Saccharomyces cerevisiae S288C: one gene and its partners. The protein of the gene in region 1 interacts with the protein of each later gene in a biochemical or structural test. Each region holds a gene or a part of one and is shown on either strand. Other genes may lie near its edges.

Evidence for each region.
Region 2: of the proteins of SSK22 (region 1) and SIP4, one has a biochemical effect on the other in vitro, tested with the Saccharomyces cerevisiae proteins (one large-scale study listed by BioGRID).
Region 3: of the proteins of SSK22 (region 1) and AGE1, one has a biochemical effect on the other in vitro, tested with the Saccharomyces cerevisiae proteins (one large-scale study listed by BioGRID).

Annotation. Positions count from the first base shown.
Region 1 is NC_001135.5:239,159-248,475, forward strand, and holds SSK22 (mitogen-activated protein kinase kinase kinase SSK22), read right to left. Parts: upstream 7,426-9,317; coding exon 3,430-7,425; downstream 1-3,429. Other genes in the region: peptidylprolyl isomerase family protein CPR4, read left to right, coding at 1-853; mitochondrial 54S ribosomal protein mL49 IMG2, read right to left, coding at 945-1,385; RSA4 (Rsa4p), read right to left, coding at 1,647-3,194; SOL2 (Sol2p), read left to right, coding at 7,805-8,752; cystinosin-like protein ERS1, read right to left, coding at 8,875-9,317. UniProt on the Saccharomyces cerevisiae protein: Kinase involved in a signal transduction pathway that is activated by changes in the osmolarity of the extracellular environment. Activates the PBS2 MAP kinase kinase by phosphorylation.
Region 2 is NC_001142.9:262,255-270,102, reverse strand, and holds SIP4 (Sip4p), read right to left. Parts: upstream 4,178-7,848; coding exon 1,688-4,177; downstream 1-1,687. Other genes in the region: TRL1 (tRNA ligase), read left to right, coding at 1-101; ARG3 (ornithine carbamoyltransferase), read right to left, coding at 288-1,304; protein kinase activating protein DPB11, read left to right, coding at 5,052-7,346; GWT1 (glucosaminyl-phosphotidylinositol O-acyltransferase), read left to right, coding at 7,551-7,848.
Region 3 is NC_001136.10:1,485,855-1,492,829, forward strand, and holds AGE1 (GTPase-activating protein AGE1), read right to left. Parts: upstream 3,137-6,975; coding exon 1,688-3,136; downstream 1-1,687. Other genes in the region: putative serine/threonine protein kinase SPS1, read right to left, coding at 1-1,184; YDR524W-C (uncharacterized protein), read left to right, coding at 3,549-3,638; YDR524C-B (uncharacterized protein), read right to left, coding at 3,744-3,944; API2 (Api2p), read left to right, coding at 4,051-4,380; SNA2 (Sna2p), read left to right, coding at 4,742-4,981; RBA50 (Rba50p), read left to right, coding at 5,240-6,559. UniProt on the Saccharomyces cerevisiae protein: GTPase-activating protein (GAP) for the ADP ribosylation factors ARF1 and ARF2. May be involved in the endocytic pathway.

The DNA of each region.
Region 1 (9,317 bases):
TCAGAAAAAATATGAGCCCAGTCCCCCCGCCACACATCGTGGAATAATCACTATCGAATACTTTGATCCCGTTTCGAAGTCGATGAAAGAGGCGGATCTGACTTTTGAGTTGTACGGTACTGTCGTGCCCAAAACTGTGAACAACTTTGCTATGCTGGCCCATGGTGTTAAGGCAGTTATCGAAGGGAAAGATCCCAATGATATACATACTTACTCGTACCGTAAGACCAAAATCAACAAGGTTTACCCTAACAAGTATATCCAGGGTGGTGTGGTTGCCCCAGATGTGGGTCCTTTCACCGTCTATGGGCCCAAATTTGATGACGAAAACTTTTACTTAAAACATGACAGGCCTGAAAGACTCGCAATGGCCTATTTTGGACCTGATTCTAACACCTCGGAATTCATCATCACCACTAAAGCCGATGGAAATGAGGAATTGGATGGCAAAAGTGTCGTGTTTGGTCAAATAACTTCTGGTCTAGATCAACTAATGGATGCTATTCAATACACAGAAACAGACGAATATGGAAAGCCTCAGCATGAATTACGGTTCCTGTATTTCGTTCTAGAAATCTTAAAAATTAGTAACATCTTAGATTTGCACGCTGCGTACACAGAAAAAGTCGAGAAGTTTAGAAATGGCGATGTGTCTGTTGGCTCCACTTTGGAAAACATCTTCCGTAACGATAAAGCCTACACACCTTTAACCACCTCCACTGGAACCACCGCCTATGATTTAAACCACCCAATTTCCAGAGCCTTGATGTGTTTAACTGTTCTTGGCCTTTGTTTCATTGCCTACAAGGGCATGCACGAAAAGCCTCATACGGTTTCATTAAGACACAAGTAAGCAACTTCTTTTCGATGGCTTGATGACCACATGGCTATGATTTTAATTAATATATATACATGACAATTATTTTTTTATACATTAGCGATACCTAAAATTTCTTGGTTAATACCCTTTTGACAGCCTCTACTGCATTGCCCTTGATAATAATTTTTTTCGATTGCATCACCACAGACCATGATTTTTTGGGTATGAAAGGCAGTTGCTCCTGCAAGTCATTTCTTAGTTGAATTACATCTCCTTCAATCTTTCTGATCTCCGTGATAATCTTGTTACCTCCATTTTTATAAGCGGAATACACCGGTAGATTTCCGGTCCTGCTTCTCTCCACGTAGTAGGTCTTTTTACCAAAATTGTTGTTTCCTATGAGCTCATGCATCTTCACGTCTTCCAGCTTTGGAAATATTGGCGCCTCAGCAGCTTTATTTGAATTAGTGGATATACATCTTATCGTTTGGTATATCGAGGCAGTGGCAGGCCCTGGAAGGCATTTACCCCTACCAAAACATCTAGTAACACACGAACTGATCATAGTTTTGCTCACACGCTACCTTGGAGTAAGTTGCTTTAGGTAAACGGGCACTTCTTTCAAAAGGTTTTCCTTCTTGCTGGAGCTATACTGCTTATAGTACCATATTTTAAATTCATACCAAGCCATTCGTACGCGATGACCATTATAGATCGACCTTGCGACACCATCATATTTAATATTCAAAAAGAAAAAAATGCAGTTCTATATCACAGTTATATAATATTTATATGTGCATGTATGTTACTTGTCTTTGCACATAACTCAATGCGTCCACAATCTTACCATCTTGTCTTTCCCACCACTACACACTCTTTTACCGTCGACACTCCAGTCGACGGTATAAACTTCGTCTTTATGACCAGGGAGGTCAACAGAAAGTTTTCTAGTTCTTACATCCCACACTTTCAACGTGGTATCTTTGGAACATGACACCAGTAGTCGGCAGTCCGATGACCACGCAACCTGGTATACGCTGGCTACATGCCCTCTAAATGTGGAGATAAACTTACCATCTCTACCGTCCCAAAGTTTGATAGAGTTATCAAAAGACGCTGAGACAATATACCTACCATCAGGGCTGAACGCCACATGATTGACTAATTTTTGGTGACCGGTCATTCTTGCTATAGGCTTGGTAGATTTTAGTGGGTTCCATAAAAACATGGTATAATCATCGCTTGCAGTAACCATCATTTCTTCTGAATTTCCATTCTTTTTACAGATTTTTTCATAATTTTCCAATGCCTTTTTCTGGGCTTCTTCTGGTGTAGAAGGCTTCTTACCTGTATGATCGAATGCACCAATGCGCAATGCGTAATCTGTAGATAAAGATAAGTGATTAACCCAGTGCGCATGCGACTTCAAAATGTTGATACATCTGCCCTGCGAATTGATGTCCCATACACGTACGGTTCTATCGTGAGAGCCACTATACAATAGACCTTGGCCGCCCCATTTGACACAAGACACTGAATTTGTGTGACCACTCATCGTATACTGGCAAACTCTGCTCACAGTGTCCCAAATCTTAATAGTACCATCCTTAGAAGATGAAGCTAATCTTGGTTTGGAGCCCGGCTTCACAAGATGTATAGGTTCCCAACTTAAAGAAGTGATCCACTTGGAATGACCTCTGAGAGCATCACCTAGACACTGACCGCTTTTTGGGTCCCATAATCTTATGGTATTGTCCATGGATCCCGTAGCAATTACTTCTCCATCGGGGGACCAGGAAACGCAGAGAACCCAATTGTAGTGACCCTTTAGAGTATGCATTGGCGTTTGGGTGTCACAGTCCCAAATCCTTGCAGTATTATCACCTGCACCGGTTACCATCCTAGAACTCGTATGTGGTGCGAAGGCAGAACACAAAATTGTGGAACCGTGACCTGCAATGGCTGATGAACTTCTAGTTACCGGCTTGACTTTGAAAACTGCTCTTGGCGTATACAGTAGCGTGATCTGATCTTCTGTACTGTTATAGCCTGGTTTTATTAATGAAGAATATAGGTTATCTGTTATATCAATCGTCTTCACAGGGTCACTGGCCTTCTTACCTTGAATTGTACAGCTGAAGGTATATGGCACTGGATCGTCTGAAGTACCGTTCAATTGATTTAAAAGTTCTTCTAACTGTTTCTCGGAGATAGCACCGGGAACTCTCAGGGCGCCACCTACATTGTCACCAGTATCTAAAGCTTGGAACTTGATTGAAACATTGGGTAAATCTTTCGGAATAATAGCTACTTCTCTGGGAAGTTGAGCCTCTTTCTTTTGTTTCTTAGAAGGTGGAGGAATCAGGGTGGACATCTGTATATTGTGTTAGTGTGTGTTTATCGAGGTTACAAATATAAAAATCTTGTGATATATGTCTTTTAAAGATACTCTTTTTGAAGCTCATCGCATTTTTTTTTTTTTTTTCATTTTAAAATTTTTCACCGGTTTCTCGGGTAACAGCTCTAAATGAAATCTTGCCTTCATCACCATTATTGAATTACATTACATTATATATCGTAGTATATCATATTTTTAGACGTTGACCACTCTATGAGCTTAGGATAGGTACTTGATCTTTCTCTGAGTTGCCAAATGCTATTTCACGGATTTGTATCATCCAAGGGTCTATCAGTAGTTCCACAGCAGTAGCCCTCATAGTGGGGTCTTGAACCAAACACCTTTCCAAGAAGGCTCTTCCCGCTGCAGTCATTTCGTCTCTATTGGGTAGTTGCGGTATTCGACCTGCAGCAACGTGGTACATGATGGCCCATTCATTATCCAAGTTAGACCAAGGTCGTCTACCTGTGGCCATTTCTAGCACAACACATCCTAATGCCCATACATCGTCCGCTCCAAGTTTTCCCTTAACTGCCGAGCCTGAAATAGTCTCTGGAGCCATATACATCGGTGTCCCCATCATTTCATTGAGGGACTTTGTTTCTACTCCAAAATCTTGAACGGCTGCGTTCCGCACAGTTCTAGTCCTAGATCCTACAACGGTACGTGCCGTACCAAAATCCACATATTTTATGATTCCATTGAAATCCAGCAAGATATTCTCCGGTTTAATGTCGCGATGCACCACGCCAGATTGGTGCAAATATGCCAAACCTTCTAATAGTTCGAATGTGTACACTTGTGTTACCATTTCATCTTCAATTCTTCCATGATCCAATAACGAGGCTAAAGAACCACCCTCACAGTATTCCATGAAGATGTTAACTTTATCGCGATGTACTTCGACACCATAGTACTGGACAATATTAGGATGGTTTAACATTTCCAATACGGTCATCTCTTCTTTAATCAGGGGAAAAATCTTCTTCATTGTTGTGGTATCGTGTATCTTTATTTCCTTAACAGCTAAGATTTCACCGTTTTCCAGATTAATTGCAGAGTATACCTGTCCAAATGTTCCACCGCCAATGAAGCTTCTTTTTTGCCACCTCATTGATACATTCGATAATGAGGATGCTAGCGATAGTAGGTATTTGTTTCCCTGATCTGTAGCATCCAATACCTTACCCATTTGCCTGGGATTCCTCTTCATAGTCTTTTCCAACGTCTTTATAGCTTCCAGTCTCAACCTGCTGTTTATTTCTAGGGTGGCCTCTTCATCAATATTCTCTTCAGTATCAATATTCAATCTTGCCTGTTGCATGCCATTTTCAGCTTCAGTGGCTCGTGCACCCATAACGTCGAAATGTGAAATTAATAATGACATACATACTGATACCCTCTCCTTCAGTTCTTGAAATTGCTTTACATTCAGCGCCAGGATATTATAACCACTAGTCATCTGCATCGCAAAATCCATTGCAAGAACGCACCATCGGAAAGTTCGCTGATCGGTAGGATCACACTCTTCAACAAGGAATTTCAACCAGTTCATTCCTAATTTAACCATCAGAAAGATGATAACGTACTTCCTCTTTGAGCTAAAGGCGTTATATTTAAGGAAACTTCTTCCAAAATCCCTTCCAAACATGAATATCGAATTTAACAACTCATTTCCCGGACATTGCTTCATAAAGCTACCTAGAATTCCTTTGTAGTTGTTCAATACTGTATAAGTAAGTTTGTAATATGCCTTATTGATTTTTTGTAGGGAGGATTCAATTGAATTGAGTGAACAACGTTTCTCTATGAATGAAACAGAATCACCTACCGTTTGATTAAACTTGTCGATTTGATAAGTCAGTGCATAATTAGAACCTTGATTGAGTAAAATCAACGTATTTGGGTTACCAATTTTCCCTAAATCCATTTCGTTGGATGCAAAAAGGTTGTTACCTGGAAGCTTATATACTGGTCCATCCCAAACTACTGGCTCTCCAGGATATAGTACAACTAGTGCACCCAATGAGCTCAAAGCAACTTCCAATTCAAAAACTTCATTGTTCTTTTCATCAAGGTGCTGATCAAAAGGGTCTGTTGAAAAATTCTTCTTTTTGGACTGATGAGCATGCCTGTCCAAATCACTTGACGAATTTGCTACTACTCGGTAGTAAGGAATTCCTTTGGAATCCTCCCCTTTCGATACTAGAATGTTCAAATCTGTTTCTTTTGTTGTTATATCATACACATTCAAATTATTTCCAATGTCAAGCTTTGGGACCAAATCACAGCCAATGGATTTATTTCGCAAAATTCTTAAGATGGTATCATTGTCACAACCTAATAATTCAGGAGCAGCAAACATATATACACCACTAGACTCAAAAGTGTTACCGGAGTATACCAAAAAATAGTGAGCATCTTTTAACTTTTTAACAAGTTGTGCATTATGATTAATCTGATAAACAGCAGAATTTTGGAACGCCTTGACTAGAATATTGCTGAACCTGTTCAGCTTTCTTTTCATGGCACCCAAATTTTCGAAAATGGAACTTAGCCATTTTTCTGCTTCTGAAGCGTTAGCAAATGTTGGTGGGAAGTTTTGTTGTTTCAAAAGATAGAATTGCAATTTATGTACGAGTCTCAAAGTTAACTTGAGAAATTCATTTGGAATCACGGTTTCTGCACCGTTAATATAGTGACCGGTGTTTTTTAGGTGATCCCAGTATTTCAAGAGTAGATCGGGTGCTTTGAAATTTTGTTTACTGGAATCAATCAACTTTAAATTCAACAGAAAAAATAAATAACGAATGGCTTCTATTACAGTATTTTCGAACGTCGGGTCAAAATCCACATCGAACGGCAAATTGGAGCAATATTTTGTCAGTGTGTACTTCAATTGCACAGAAAGTCGAATAAAAGCGTTAAAATCATCGATCATTTGATCGATCATCATCATTGTTGGATTTTTAAGCTTTCGTGCATATGACAATCTAGTCAAAATAACTTCTTTGATTAAATAGACGGGGAACGCCAGTAGTGATCTTAACCTTTCATAAGGATATTTTATGTTCATCTTTGTCAAAGTTTCTCTGTAGACTATAAAATGTAGTTTCAGTTTGAACATCCAAGGTGATAGCGGATAGAAAATTTTTTTTTGGAATATAGACTCGATGTTCTTTTCCTTCATCAATTGTTCTGCAAGAATCTTCATTTTGCAGTTCCATTGGGGCACACCATCAAAATCCTCTTGGCAATTATCCGAACTACTTATCGGTGAGAAACGGTTTATCCAGTCGTCCAACTCTTGCCTCCTCAACGTTAAGTTCGTTTTAAAGTTCAGCCAAGAATTCATTACGTCTATTCTAGCGGTAAATTCTGCAGTATTGGTGATTGGTTTATCCTTATACATTTTTTTCAAGTTAGGCCAATAAGAGACAACGCTGTGATATCTGTTCATGAGGTCTTGTAAGATGGCCTCCAGTGCATCCAGGCTCAATATCTTGCCCTGTGGAATTTGAAACTTCATTATCTCTTCAAAAACGGAATCTGAACTATCTCTTAAATATGTAAGCGACTGTTCCATCTCTTGCATGGTCCTCCCATTCAGCCATGCCTTCAATTCGAGCCATATCTCATCTGAGAGCTCCTTATTTAACCCTGGTTTCTTGACTTGGTTAGCAATCCTCGTCTTTTCACCTTTAACAATATCTCCCTTCAGCACTCTGGCCAGCATTGACTGCCATTTGAACCGTTCGGTCGCAATTTCATTCCAAGCTAGTTCATCACTGTCTGACCTCATTTTCCTGCAATAAGGTGTAGTGGAGAAAAACTTGACACCTGAGTGCAGGTCTTCATCAATTCTGTCGCCATTAGACAACCGAATAATTTCGTCATCACCGTCGTCTTCCTCGTAGCGGTTAGTGAGTTTTATGCCCCTCGTGTAGTAGTCATCTAAAGCGGTCTTTTTTAGCTTTTTCAAGTATAGCGATTCATTGAAAACGTATCGGTCCTTAAAAGTCAGCTGACTGGGGCCGTCGCTTATTGTTTCCGAGCCACCCAATGCTTTCAAATCAGATCTTGATAGTTTATGGCTGGAATGACTTGATAATCTCTTCACGAGCTTACTTGAGATGGTATGAGGAGCCAGAACTCTCCCGCCTTCAGCCGCTTTTTGTTGCTGTGTATTCAGTATATCCATCATCATTTTCACCTACAAGGAACTACCTTTTATAGCCACCCTAAGTAAAACAACATTAGCTTAGCATCCTCAATTCTTATCGTATGTTGTTGCTGCTATTTTTATCCTATTGTTCCTGGCATCGCTTTTTTACATAAGGTACCAAGGCAAGAGAAAAGACCCGCGAAATTTTCAATTCGAGACATAGGGTTAATACGAAATATGTTAAGGTCTAGTTTCCAAAAAATGAAGAAAATGTGATTAGACATCCTGGGGAAATTAGGTTTAAATAGGGCGGGCGCTACAGGGGTTTTCCTAACAAATTTCAATGATAATAGTGGCATCATCATCGTCATATCCAGTGTAGGTATGGACTAGAACAGAAAGCAATTTGCAGCAAGACAATATGACTACGACGGTACCCAAGATATTCGCGTTTCACGAGTTTTCAGACGTGGCAGAGGCCGTAGCTGACCATGTAGTCCACGCGCAAGACGGTGCATTGGCTCCAAAGAACGAGAGGAAACACTCTGTTCCCAACATCAGCATGAATGCACTGGATATGACGAGAGAGGCCTCTTGCAAAAGCACAGCATCTGCCGCGGAAGGGAAAAGTGGTAGCAGTGGTAGTGGCAGTGGTAGCAGTAAGCCCAAAAAGGAGAAACGGTTCAAGATTGCTCTCTCCGGTGGGTCATTGATCGAAGTGCTACACGAAGGTCTGCTAAAACGAGACGATGTACGGTGGGGAGACTGGGACATTTACTTTGCAGACGAGAGACTTGTACCCTTCAGCTCGAATGAAAGCAATTATGGATGCGCCAAAAGGAAGATTTTGGACCTGATAGACACGGCGAAGTATGGAACTCCGAAGGTGTACCACATTGACGAGTCATTGATTGACGACCCGCAAGAATGCGCTGATAACTATGAAAAGGTGCTAATCCGCGGGTTTGCCGGTAGAGATTCCGTCAAACTTCCGATGTTCGACTTGTTCCTGCTTGGTTGTGCCCCCGATGGTCATATCGCATCACTCTTCCCTAACTTCCAGGACAATCTACGTGAGAAACTTGCATGGGTGGTGCCCGTGGAGAACGCTCCTAGTGGGCCCTCGACCAGAATTTCGCTGACTATACCTGTAATCTGCCATTCTCACAGGGTTACTTTCGTTGTCGAAGGTGCAACCAAGGCGCCCATCATCAAGACCATTATGGAAAGGCCTGAAAAGGGCCTACCTAGCAGTATTGTCAACGAAGGTGCTGCTGGTCGTGTATCATGGTTTGTTGACGACGATGCTCTTACGGACGTCCTCGTCACCAAAAAAAAGTATAAATTCCACCAAGGTTTGTCTATTTAAACCATGCATGTGTGTACATACATACATACACACATACATACATACATACATATATTTATGTATATTTATGTATATATATATATATATATATATGCGTAATTATGCAGATTTCTCCTTGTGTGCTACAGCGGGTACTCTGACGCCAGATCATGGCCTCGAGATCGATATACAAACCACTGCATGATAAAGATGAAGTTGAATATTAAAGTTACCATTGACAGTCCCACTTTTCCAAAATTTGTCACGAACGTATCCAGACTGAAACCTTGATCGTTAGACAACTGCCAAATCAATTGGAGCAGCGAGGCGATACCGCCAGTGACATCTAGAAACACACCCTGAATGGGGAAACAATCCATAGATTTTCTTGTCGAGTTATGCGTCACTTGTGGGATGTACTTGATTAGTGACATCGATATTTTGAGTAAAAACAAATTGTTGCAATACGCCAGAGTTCTTGAGTTATGCCAATCGTACCAGTAGTTGGAGTACATAAATTGTACGGTTAGCAGTGAAAAAATGGCCAGTGATGCGAGTAAAATCCTTAGGTACCATGGATTCATCT
Region 2 (7,848 bases), on another chromosome or scaffold:
TATGTGAGAAGGTTGAATCTGCTGAAGTTGATGAAAATATAAAAGTGGTGAAATTGGACAACTCGAAGGAATTTGTTGGCAGTGTATATTTAAATTTTTAGACCGCGGTCTGGCTGTCTTAAAAACGTTAATTTCGTTTAACCAAGTGCTTTATTTGCTTGGAATGTAACATAGTTTTACTAACATTTTTTTTTTTTAATTGACATTGCAAAATAATCAATGTATATCATTATTCATGCATCTATATCTGTATTTATATATTAGTTATTAAGAACACGAAAGAAGGATTATTTCAAGTCCTTGAAATTACCTTTATTATTAACAAAGATATCAATGGCAGACATAGCTGCATATAATCTGTTTTCTGCTTCTTCAAAGACTATGGAATGCTCTCCATAAAAGACATCATCACTAACTTCTTCTTGATGTCTTGGCAGACAATGCATAAATTTGTAGTTTGGATCAGCCACAGAGACAAGTTCTTGATTGATTTGAAAACCTTTGAATTGTTTCAGCTTGGCCTGTTTCGCAAATTCTTCACCCATGGAAACGAAAGTATCGGTTACTAATATATTGGCATTGGTGGAGGCCTTTAAAGAGTCGTGTGTTAATTCAAATGTCGCACCGTTTCTCTCAGCAACTTTCTTTGCTTCATCGACAATATCGGAATCCATTTCAATACCGGGGGGAGTGGAAATACTGACACTTATACCGAATTTCAGACATGCGATGCACATATCATTTATGACATTATTGGCATCACCAATCCATGCCATCTTCAATTTTGAATTGATTCCCTTATTTACTTCATCTAGAGATATATTGAAGTTTTCGATTATTGTTAAAAGATCACAAATTGCTTGCAAAGGGTGGAATTTGTCACATAGAGAGTTGATGATCGGTACAGAGGAATCCTTGCAAAAAGCAAGTATGTCTTCATGTTTGTTCACACGGGCAAAAATACATGAAACCATAGATGATACAACCTTGGTGGTATCGTAAAATGATTCATTGACACCAAGCTGAATATCCTCTTTACCTAAAAACATCGGTTGGGCACCAAAGAAGGTGGCTGCACCTTCGGTCGAAATTCTCGTTCTAGTTGATCTTTTAGTAAATATTAAGGCTATAGTTCTACCCAATAGTTTCAGATGGTTGGATTGGAAATCATTCGTTTTATTTGCTTTAAAAACATTCTTGAAATGTTGAGCTCTTTGTACTAAGATTCTGAATTCTTCATCAGAAAGATCTTTTATAGAAATCAAATGACGTAAAGATGAAGGCGTGGATGCTGTGGTTGACATGGTAACGAGTGTACAAGTTGATGGGTAGATGGCTAAAAAAAAAAAAAAAAATTGCTCGTTATTAACTGTACTTAAAGGACATACAAGGAATAAACTGCCTTTAGAGGTGAAAAGTCGATTTATATAGGTAGATTTTTTTGGATGGACGGGAATGGGAAGCCGCGCCGAAGAAAGAAACGGTGACCAATCCGGCTCAAAAAAATTTGTCCGGGCATTTCTCAGCGGCCGATACTGCTGTGAGTTGCACTTAACGGAAAAAATGACCAGTTTTTTGTCATCTCGAAACGAAACGGAACAAGAAAGCATATGAGTCACGACGTGACCCTCGAAAATTCACTGCTATCAGAGGAAGAGCTGAATGAGTAATACGAAGGAGCGTAATGTTAGAAGGTCGAGTTCAAAATATTCTGGATCTTGAATTTTTGTTTACTGGAGTCATGGTTGCTAACGATGTCTCGGTTATCTAAAATAATATGATCTAAATATTTTTTCTTAGAAGACGTAACTGATGGCGAATCAGGGTTTAAATTTAAATTTGTATCTGTGTTGAAATCTACCGAATTGCTATCTCTGTTTTCAAATAGGGATAACCTTTGTGAAAGCTCTTTATTCCTATTCTTGCATTTATTTTTACTTTTTTTAAAAGGAATTTCTAGTGGTAAGCTATTGTCACTGTCACTATCCTCTTCATCATCATCTTCCGCATATCCTTCATCTGTTTCGTAGTCATAGTTTTCAAAGTTGTTCATAAAAATTTTATTAAAATCGTATGGTGACGCATCTAGGAAATTGGAGTTAGAACTCGAGTGTTGCAAAAGGTTTAGCTGGGTATTGACCTTAGACGCGAAATTCGACTTGACTGAACTTGAATTAAAGCTCGATACGGCATCCAAATATCTCAATTTATTCAAACTTATTAACAATCGTTGCTCTTCTTGTGAGTAATGGATTGTCTCAAAAGGAAGTAATTTGAAATTGATTTTGAGGATTTGTAAAAAAGGGTTTGTGGAAAATTCATCATAGTACCATATTGGACACCAGTGATTTAAAAAGTTTTGAAATTTTTCAAACTTTATTTTACTTGAGTGGGGCTGGTTTTGACCACTTTCGTATTTAAGTGATAATGACCAATTGTTTAAATTGTTTAAACATAAGTCAATAATGTCAATACTATTGAAGGGCGTAAAATGGTAGAGATTTAGTTGCTGTGGTTGTAACTGTTGATTATCATCATTATTAGAGTCATCTGTAAGAATTAAAAAATATAGGGACAATATCTCTAACGAGATATCCTCTTTCTTCAAATCTTGGTCCCCTTCCTTTAAAGTCATTAATTTTAAACTCAAGTAAAATAAAGTTAATTGAATCTCCACAAAATCAGGTTGATTGAGTTTGTGATTTAGACCCGTCAAATTCTTAAGTAGTAAATTTGTTGTTAGTTTTTTATTTGAACTGGATGTTAAGAATCGGAAGTTATCGTGATCACTCAAATTGTGATAAAGGTTCCACAGTAATAAATTTTTTTTAAAGCTTTCCAGTTCATTCTGGAAAAATTGGAAATTTGGGTCCGAAACATTTAAAGATGAGATATTCAACAAATTACATCCATCCAAAGAATATATGATGAAGTTTAACAAAATTTCAAAGGGCTTCAGCCTGGGGATTTCTAGAACCGAGATTGATTTCGGTTGAAATTCTTCAGTTAAAAAGTTGGACTTTGGTAAACCTTGAATTAAGGACCACCATGAGCTTAAGAATTGAAAGCACCAAAATGTCACTATTCTATCATCCTCTTCATTAGATTTATTATTATTATTGTTGCCTGATATAGGAATTAAATTTTTGGGATTTATGTACAATCCCATATTCAAAATATTTGTAAAGTTTAGGTTTAGCAAATCATTGGTCCATATTACTGAATTTACATTTGAATGTTCTGTTAACGAGCTTTTACTTTTACAAGAGTCAACAGAGGCGCCCATAAAATAAAAGATGGATAAGTTAACCAATTGCAAAACTTTCAAGTCTAATTTGCTGTTTGTTGTCAGAGAAACAATAAGCTTCGTGACTTTAAAAAGCTTGAAATCATCAAAACAAGACCAAGTAAATTGAATAATATAAAGTAACGCCAGTAGAGTTATGGGTTCACCTGTCATTGCGGTTGAATTAATCTTGTCTAATAGCAAATTTTTCCATAAATTTGTAGGGTATAATAGAAGTAGCAAAGAATTTTGCCTTTTAAAAAAATCTTTAATAATGACAGACAACAAATTTTTCAAAAACTGAAGGTTATAATCATATTTAAGTAAAAGAAAATTTGGGAGATGATTAAAGTCACCATTCAGGTTCAAAAAATTTGTTAACAGTTGCAGTTGTAGATCAATATTATTTCGATCGTCTGTAAAAACTACTGCTTTTTGAGTAGGAAAAGTATTAGTTAGAATATTCCATGTCAAATGTCCCAAAAACCTTTGATTTTCAGACTGAGTGTTGTAATTATCAAAACAATAAAATGTATCATTAATGAACGGCAAATTAGAATTTGCATTGGCGCTGGAACTCGCATTCATATTTGTCAAACGGACGACCTCTTTTTCTAGTAGTTCTGTATACCCCTTTGGAAGACCTCTCCTCGACAGTTTATCCGAGGTTTTGCAAGGGAAGTCAATTTTCGCACAGTTTGAACAGTTCGGTTTTAAACCGTCACACTTGATTTTTTTCAGTCTGCATCTATCGCAAGCATGCGCCTTTCTGACAGAGAAATCAGTGATTGCGTTAGAGGAGCTTTGACCGGTTGGTACTATCAGGACTTTATTGCTGCAGGAATCTGTATCATCGAGGGAATAAGACCTGCCATATTTCCTCTTGGCCATCGTCTATTCAGAGTAGCGAGAAGAAAAAAAGAAGCAAAAAAAAAAAAAAAAAACGAGCAAAAGAAATCGAGCAAAGGAGAATGAGCAAAGGATAAACGGAAAACAATGGTAAAGAGGATTAGCCGCTGAACTAGATTGTAAATTGAAGCGGAAAAGAAAACAAAGGAGAGGAAATCGGAGAGGCAGAAAGCTTTCTGCCTTATATACTTTTTTTTTTGCCGCCGAGTTCTGAGATCACGCCCTTAAATTTAGCCGCCAAAACACCGGTCGAACGGCGAAAATGGATCGGAGTCTTGATTGCACCCACACCTCGCATTTTGTGCACTAACATAAAATATGACGAAGTGAGAGTCATGACACACAGAATAACTTAAAAATACTTGAGGAAAAAGTTCTCATATTATGAGGTCATAATAACTACATCGTTATTGTTGCGATATAACTTCAATGTTTTCTGCCTGCAAAAGAATCCTTCCTTTTCCTTCTTTAATTGAAGAGTCCATGTAACCTTGTTTCGTTACTTATATTTATTCACCTTTCTACTTTAGTCACATAACGTAATCTGGGCATAATCATTGAGGTATCATTATTAGCTTGAACTCGTGGTTCCTATTGTCGCCAGGTTTCTTTCAACGCATTTGCTCTTTCCGCTTCGCATACGGCGGTGATCAAATGCAAAACTTACCCTCATCAGTATAAGAGAAGAAAAACTGCATGGACTATTCGCGTATTGCCTGGTAAAGCTATATAGTACTATTGGTAATGTTTGTACTGTTTTATGTACATGATGAATAAGAAGAGACAAATTTTACGTGATATATAAGTCTTCTATTTCTAGTATGGCAGGTATTTTATCAGTAGCATTAATATTACTATGAAGCCCTTTCAAGGAATAACATTTTGTCCGACTGCAATAAATAATGAAATCTTAGCTAAAAAAATATCAAAGAAAATTATTAAGTTAGGAGGTATATTTTCTAAAGATTTGACCAGACAAGTTAATGTCCTTGTTGTTGGGTCCACCACCAATACAAACAAATTTAAATTTGCGGTGAAGCATAGATTCGATATCATATTTATTGACATTCAAGCCATTGATGACATTTATCAGCTCTGGCTGTCTGGAGAAAATATATTGCCGGACTCTAATACGGCAACAATGACAGGATCCACCTATGAGATGCTGAAGATACTTTACCGGCGATTTTCGTTTAAATATTTGCATAACTTCAATATCTTCATTGGCAGAATAACCGACACTAACATAACTTCCATCGATTCATTGGTTAGGAGTATTAAAAAGTTAGGGTGTTCTAGTTATAACTATCAAAACTTTGTAATCAAAGATACCTCTTCACACAATGATGACGATGATCAAGGTCAGAATGGGCAGATATCCATTTTTGTTACGGATACTTTACTAGGAGCAAGAGTTAACGCTGCTATTGAACAAAATATACCTATTGTACATTTCAAATGGATTCTCGATTGCCAAAAAAGAAGCGCACTGTTACCGTACGATCCCTATTATCTTTTACCAAATATTAAAGACCTGCCCTATGATTCAATCGGATCAAACTCTTGCGATTGCTGGGATAAAATAAACACCACCTTTCCAACCAATATCGATGCCCAATCCTCTCTGCAGCGGCAGCAATCCTCCAGTACCCTGACTCCTTCGCTCCCGAAAACATCATCCCTCTTGAATAAATTTAAACCAAAGGGTGAAAAAATATGGGACAAGGCAATGTCTCTACAGCAGCATAGTAAGACAAATTTTTCAGTACTAGGGCAGTCACCATTATCGATAAATAACAAACAAGAAGATTTAAGTGATAATAGTACTTTGATTTTCAAAAATTGTGCGTTTATCATTCATCATATTTTTCCTGGCAATCACCGTTCAATACTAACCAAAATTGTTGTTCAAAATGGGGGTAAAATTGAGACGTCTTACTTGAGCGGCATTTACGATCATTCTTATTACATCATTCCAAGTAATAAAGCTCTTGACTCCTTCAATGATTTACCTGAGATTATAGATGATAATGATGGTATAGTTACAGAATTTTTCATTGAACGCTGCTTGTATTATCAAAAATTACTACACCCAATAGATTTATGGTCAAAACCCTTCCTCAGCACAATAGAGTTTCAAGTTTCGTCTTCTTCAAAGTTATTGCATCATGAATTTTCTTCTTCCCCTTTTCTGAATGTTACTATCACTGGATTCTCTGGCGTAGAGCTGTTACATCTGACTAAAGTATTAAATCTTCTAAAACCAATGGGCATCAATTATGTAGAATACCTCAATAAATCCACTGACATTCTGCTAATCAACTTAGCAGCTTTACCCAGTATCCCGAAAACCCATCCGTTATGGTCGAATGAATTTAGCGATCTTTTTACTCAGTTTTGCATTAATAACAATAATGATGATCCTGGTGATAATAACAGAAAAGATTTTCAAAATAATTCAATCTTGAGAAATTCGATGAAAAGGAAAATTGAATATATCAAGAAATTCCACTCCATACCGGTAGTTACTCCAGCATTTATTTTTAAATTATTGTCCGCTGCATCTGGAGAAAATAATGAAATCTTTTTAAACAATATCAAGTGGTGTATTATCTGCCCAAGAGGACACAAGGACGATTTTAAATGTAAGATAAAAAAACCATACTATACCAGCATTAGTTCAGAAAAAAAGTACCAAAACAATGATCCAAAAATCGACAAAACTATTCTTTTGAAAAGAAACAATTCCTCATTATCGGAGCACTCTATGAAAGATACCAAAAACGAATTATTGCAGAAAATTAGAGAAACTGATTCTGGAAGAAAAAAGCGTAGTGTCTCATCGAGTATCATGGATGTTTCTTCAGAGAGACAAATGCCGGATACGAAAAGGATCAAGTTGGAGTCACTGCCAAAAAATTTCGTTCCTAAACAAATTAAACGAACCACGAGTTGGGGCACAATAATGTCAGAAAATGTGCCTACAGAGCAGCCGACTGCAATTTCTAATCCAGAAGAGATCCCAAGAACTGAGGAAGTTTCACATACTCAAGTTACCTATGGCTCCATTCAAGATAAGAAACGTACTGCCTCTTTAGAAAAACCTATGAGACGACAGACAAGAAATCAGACAAAGGAATTAGATTCTTGAAATGTAGTCCGTAATTTTATAAGATATTCATTTACATACGCCATCTACAGCATTATTCAAATCTACTCATCTATATGTATTACCGTTTTGTATGATAATACTTTCCATGACATGCTCGCGTGAAAAAACAGCATGAGAAAAAGAGGATCGCAATAAGAAGACACGTAAATATCTAAATAAATGGCAACAGTACATCAGAAGAATATGTCGACTTTAAAACAGAGAAAAGAGGACTTTGTGACAGGGCTCAATGGCGGTTCTATAACAGAAATTAACGCAGTGACATCAATTGCTTTGGTAACTTACATATCATGGAACTTATTGAAAAATTCCAACCTTATGCCTCCTGGCATTTCCAGCGTGCAATACATAATTGATTTTGCATTGAACTGGGTTGCTTTGCTTCTATCTATTACTATTTATGCTAGTGAACCATACCTTCTAAACACGCTAATACTGTTACCTTGTTTGCTCGCATTCATATATGGAAAATTTACTAGCT
Region 3 (6,975 bases), on another chromosome or scaffold:
GGGCAGCCTGAATCTATATCCATTCCTGAATCAAGCTCGAAAACTGGTTGCGTACATTTTCTAAATGATGAAGAACTTGGGTTGGTTATCGGCGTTACAGTTTGCCCATGAAGTAAATAAGGACTTTCCATATTTAAAGATGATGTTGGAGAGTCTTGTGTAATGGGAGATAATTCCTCTTTGGAAATTTGTGTTGTGCTTAGTCTTGTCGATTCAAAATTCCAAAATTCCTTTCCCCTCACTGTGTTGCTGTTTTTATACAAGCGATTTTGAAGAGGGTATTTGGGAACTTTTGTATATCTCTCCTGAACCTTTTTCTGTTTAATTAGATCAACATCACTTTTCAAGTTCGTTATGGTGATATTCTTAACAAATTCAAATGATAACAAGTTATATGCCGATGGCCGATCAGCAGGTGTTTTAACAAGACAACCAGCTACGAAATCCTTTGCTGCATCCGAAAAGGGACCTTGTAATTTTGGAGGCTTCCTTTTTGGTAAGTTAGTCATAACTTTCATAGGATCATATTTAGATAATGGGGGTAAGCCCTTGAGTAACTCATAGGTGGTGATACCCAAGGACCATATATCTGCTTTCTCATTATACCCATCAACTTCGCAGCAAACAACTTCCGGAGCCATCCAATACGGCGTTCCTACAAAAGTGTCCCTTTTCAAAGTGGAACGAATGTGGCCACTTACTCCGAAATCACCCAACTTAACCATACCTTCTTCATTTAGTAAAATATTAGCTGCTTTGATATCACGATGAATTTTCCTTTGCTCATGCAGGTATTTCAAACCCAAGGTGACTTCATGAATAATGAAGGAAACTTTTTCTTCAGGCAAACCGTTGACGTAACTTCGCTTCAGTAAATCTGAACATGATCCACCGCCGCAATATTCCATGACAATCCACATAGAGACATCTTCTAACATTGTTGCAATATAGTTTGTAATAAGAGGAGATTTCAATTCCGCCAGAAAAAAAATTTCCTGTGCTAACAGTTCAATGTCTTCGTCGGAATGCTCCAGGTTGACCACCTTAATTGCCACAATTTCTTGCGTAACTCTATCCACTGCTTTATACACATCACCAAAGTTACCTCTGCCAATACATGATTGGATGGAATATAGCTTCGATGGAGGGGTTCTTGACCTAATTGATATTTCTTTGCTTTCCATTTTGTGCTATTTTCTTTTGTTGTTTAGTAAATGAATTAGCTAGTAAAAAAACTAAATTTAAAAAGCAAATGCTGGTTTGCTTTCTTTTGAGAAATGTTTGCTAAGACAACTGACTAGCCAGGTGTTCACTAAATCGATAATATTGAAAATGGCAAAATAAGAAAAAAAAAGAAGAGAATTAGCTGGCTTTTTTTGGATAGGAAATATTAAATGAAGCAGTTGGAACCAAGATAATAAACAAAAACAGTATATTAAGTGACTCTTTAGTATATATCTGAACTAACAAGTAAAATATCGATGTTAGAAATGGTTACAATAGAAGAAAGTAGTGTCATTCTTTCGCGTCAAAAAAAAAAAATGGAATTTGTGTCTTTTTCGTTTTTATGTGTCATTTTTTTTTATCCCTGATGCCGCATTGTTCCGAACCTGGGACAGCTCCGAAATATAACTTGAGGAAAAAGTATTAGAAAAGGGAAAAAAATACAGTTAAATTATCATATATGTTATTTTTTGTCCTTTTTGGCCAATTTTAAAGACTTATGCATTGTTAATAAGTTTGTTGGGGACATCAAATTTTGAGAAGACTTAGGAATGGAGCTCAAACTCCACCTTTTACTTGCTGAGGCACTTCTTTCAGGTATGTTAACTCTCAAATCGTGTTTCTTATTGTAGGACGAAGCTGAATCTACATTTGAATGCATATTTAAATGCGGCCCTGATCTTGGACGAGAAGTATTTACAGCTTGGAATGTTCCGTACATCTCCAACTTAGTTTCCCAATATTCTAAAACCTTTGGAGACCAATTCGTAGTAATCTTCGGTAAATTATCTATATGAATACCATTGCACAATAAAAATTCTGTAATAAAAAAAATGGGCGTTCCATCAACAATTTCATAGTGCTTTAGGGAATATTGAAAAATGGAAGAATGGTTTAGATCATTCTGCTCTTTTTCGCTTGCCGTCAATTCTCTTAGGGAATATTTACTTTGGGCGATGGCTCTTTGCATCATGAAAACACTATCTAAATGGATAGCTTTAATTAAAGACTTCAAAGAAGCCTCTCTGCCTTGGTTGCTGTCGATAACAAACTTTTTAAATTGATACTTATCAATAATGAATTTGGATCTTTCCGAGTCATCAGAATTTGCAGTTATTTTTTTAACTGGAAAGTTCCTGAGATTGCTTTCATAAATGGCATTAACATTACTATTGGAAACATTATTTTGTAAAAGATGCATCAACTCTAACGAGGTGAAATTATCCAGCGTTAAAGATCTAATTTTGGAGATATGTGAACCCAGAGATCGATGAACGCCCGAACATTTGATACACAATATACACAATAAATTGATTGACACCCATTCTACTGTTGCGGTGCTACCGCAGTCACAACACTTCAAATTAGATTTATCAATTTTGCGCACGATTGATAGCAGTTCGTCTCTATTGGAGGCTCCCGCATTAGCAAAAGAGAAATGCTGTGTATGCTGTTTGGAGGAATCTGTTTTTGTAGGAATACGGTTATTACTATTACTGTTGCTACTGCTACTATGAATGGGATGAGTTTGATGATTGATGTGATGAGAATGCGTAGATTTGTGTTGGCTCCCACTAAGACGGGTTGATAAATATGTAAATGACAGTTGGGGTGAACGAAATGGAAATCCTGATGGTAAAGAAGGAGGTATTTGTAGTAATATCAATGATTCTTTCGCGGCCATTAATAAAGCGATGCTTTTTAAAATAACACAATATACCTCAAAACCTCGATCATCCTCGCAGCGGTTCGTTTGAAATTTACATCGAAGAGATTTAAGAAGAATATTAGTTAACTTTAACGCGTTGTTGCACCATGATGGATACTGTGCTTTTGATGCTGTTCTTGCTACTGTTCCTTTACTGAACAAAGGCACAACATTTTTGTTGATATCAGTAGTATAAAAATCCATTATTGATGGAACATCCAGAAAAATGTATTCAAAATGACTGGTACAGCTACCTTAACCACTCTGCCTCAATGTGATTTTTATCCTCTTTTTCGCTCAAATTTTTACTTTTCTTCTCTCTTCGTCAAGTACTATTATAACGACAGCGATAGGAAAAAAAACCAACATCGGACGAGAATAAATAATACTTTAGCGTTCAAAATGACATTCCTTTAAAATTCGATATGAAATTTTCCGCGATTAATTCGCCGAGAATACGACAAAAAAAAAGATAAACATCAGAAAATTCTATTATTAGATTAGATTTTATATTAGATAATGAATTAATACAGGTAATAATTATAGAGAGGAAATAAAAATAAACAGATAAGTTATTTACATCTTCTAACTAATATTCCATTACAAGTGAACGAACATGAAAAGATCATATAAAACCCTTCCAACATATTTTTTTTCCTTCTTTGGTCCCTTCAAGGAAAGAGCGGTCTTTCTTCTTGTTCTATAATAATATTATTAAAAAAGCACATAAAAACTTGATTGTGTAGCGATAATAAAAAAATTTTTTCGATATTATAGGAGTATAATGTCTCTAAACTCAAAATTAAAGAACTTAGAATAAGAAAGCGACACCGGCAGCGACGGCAGCACCGAAGACACCAGCACCCAAAGCGTTGGAAGCAGCAGCACCAGTGGAGATCTTGGTGCTGGTGGTGTTGGAACCGTTGGTACGGTTGGAACCATTGGTAGAAACGTTAGCAGCTTGGACAGCGGCAACAGTAGCGAAGGCAGCGACGATGGTCTTGAATTGCATTGTTTTGTTGATGATTAGTGTTGATTGAAACTTATGTTTAATGATGATTTTCCTCTAAAATCAAAAACAATATTAACTAATAAAGTAAATAATACAGTAGGAGAAGATGGAAAAGAAAATCAAGAATTTCTCGAGTTCCTTATATATGAGGAGAAAAGCCAGGAAAACCACCGCGATGACACACAGCACCATATCTCATGTAACAAACGTGAAAAAAGCGATGATTTTTTTTCTGCTTTCTTTTTCTCATTTCTCAAGCGGATATTCCGCTTGCAAAAAGAAAAGGCGTGGCTCTGGTCTTCGCTATTTTGGAAATAAACTTTGGCGTCCTACGCCCAGAAGCGGCCAAAGCGGCCAATCACGCCCGAAGACGGGACCGCACGGCTCCCAACGAGTCGTTTTTTTGGAACTGAAAAAGGCCCAACGTTGGGCCTAGGCCCTTACCGCGCCCATTTCGGAAACTGCATTACTTTTTCGGGACGTATTCTCGGGAAATAAGCAGGTCCAGATCCGCGTAGCATGAATGGGGCGCCAAAACAGTCGCGGGTAACGAAAGAGCGCAACCACGCGTATATTCCGGGCCGGTGAGGGGCAACGCGCATTGTCCCGGGGCGATATAATCCATGTACCGGAACCCGCACTTTTTCGACTTTCTTTCCCCTTTTCCTGTCTCCTATTGTGCGAGAAAGGTTTGATTGACAAGAGATCTTTACTGATCGATCTTAGTTAGTCCTCGAATAAGCATTTTGCAAGTACCAGTCATCGTATTAGAGAACATACAACTTTAGAATTACACTATGCACGCCCGCGACTGGTTTTTAGTTTTTATTGCAATTTTCATTCCTCCCTTAGCAGTCTGGCTAAAAAGAGGTTTTTTTACCAAGGATCTGCTCATTAACTTTCTGTTATTTTTACTAGGGTTTTTCCCTGGTCTGATCCATGCTTTGTACGTGATCAGCTGTCATCCATATGAGGAGAACGAGGCCCGGTACTCACACCTCTCCTCCTCGGATGATAACTATGGTAGTTTAGCATGAGTGACTCTTTCTACGTTATCCTCCTCCGCAGAATTTCGTAATAAGTGATGTGTGGCTCTTTTGCTACCCTTTTTTTTTCATTTCTTTCTTTTTTTTCTATTTTATTTTTTCTTTTTCATTTTTCGGTACTTCTATGTACCTGAAATGAATAATAATGTAATGGCAAGCCATCTCATCGCTGTCGGCTAAGTAAATCTATAGTTTAATATATTCATTTTCCCTCATTCAAAGAAGATAAATCACTCTGCCACCATCGTAATGGACTTACTGGGCGATATAGTGGAGAAAGATACATCTGACTCTGTTGAAAGTAATGACAATGGCACTCTTAGTACCAACAACTGTGGAACGGGATTTCCCGAGTTGTACAAACCCAAGAAAATATCATCTTGGAAGGAAAGACTAAGAGAAAAAAGAGCCCAAAAGAAAAAAACTAGTGGCAAGGATGCTGAAAAGCAACAAACGAGTACAGACGCCCCACTATCCGAGGCAAAATCTATCCATAATGAAAATATTAAAGTTCTGCAGGGAATGAGTGATGAACAAATCGTGCAAGAACGTGAGGATCTGTATAACTCTTTAGATCCCAAACTGATTGCCAAGCTATTGAAAAACATAAATAAAAGAGCGAAGGACGAAAACAACACTCCATTATTTGCAGAAATAGAAGGCGCTTCTGGTACCTGGGTAGGTGGCAACAAGCAAGGCATATACGATCTACCACCGTTAGACGATGAAGATGTAGACGTTGCCTTAGAAATTAGGCCTATGTTAGGCAAAGATGCAAAACATGTTCAATTTGAAGAAGCAGGAAAAGAAAAAGACGTGGAAGAAGAAGCAAAAACTAATGATGACGTCGATGATATCGCACCCTTAGATTTCCAGATGGCACAATGCATTGATCATATGAAAAATGAAGAGCTATTCAAAGACGTTCATTTTATCAAAGAGGAGAGCCAAAATGAAATCAATTTAGAGAAACTTGATATAAATGATCCTAATTTCAACGATAAATTACACGAAAAATACTTCCCTGATTTGCCCAAAGAGGTCGACAAATTAAAATGGATGCAACCGGTTCAGCAAAAAACAGACAAGAATTACATCATTGAAGACGTATCTGAATGTAGGTTTGACTTTAATGGCGACCTTGTTCCACCCACAAGACAAATAGACTCTACCATTCACTCAGGGTTGCACCATCACAGCGACTCGCCTGAACTCGCCGGTTACACCATAGTGGAGTTAGAACATTTAGCAAGATCCACTTTTCCTTCTCAAAGGTGCATTGCTATACAAACTTTGGGGAGAATACTTTATAAGCTAGGCCAAAAAAGCTACTACCAGCTAGTGCCAGAAATAGATGCAGACACATACAAGGAAGACGGAAGCATATCGAACGTTATGGATAAGATCTATTCCATGTTTTGGGACTTGATTAAAGACGGAAAAGTCATCGAATCCTTAGAAATCTCCTCTGATGAGAAATTCACTAGAAATTTGTCAGTCAGAAATTATGCTATTGATGCACTTTGGTTATGGAAACAAGGCGGTGGGGACTTCCGAACCAAGAAATAGATAGAGAAAAAAATAATAGTACATACAGGTGCGCCGACCAGCGCCTATTCATAAAAACAAGAATAATGTGTCTCTTTGAGTCATGTTCCTTAGCTTCTTTTTTAAAAAAACTGTCTCAGGTATTTTCGCTTCTTTGATCTCCCAATCTCCATATCCCAACCACGTTCATATACCTCAAGCCGATTTCAACCAAACTTGAACGAAAAACTCAGACAGGTCTGGTAAAATATCTGCAATGAAGTACGCACAACTCAATTGGTATTAATTAATATAGAACATATTAAATGTAGAGGAGAGAAAATTAAATTACATGGGAAACCAATCTTGAAGGTCCAATAAAGTGAGATGTGCATGGATGAATTATCCATGCAAAAGCAAAAACGAAAAAGTCGCAACCTCAATCATGCCTTTTCTCT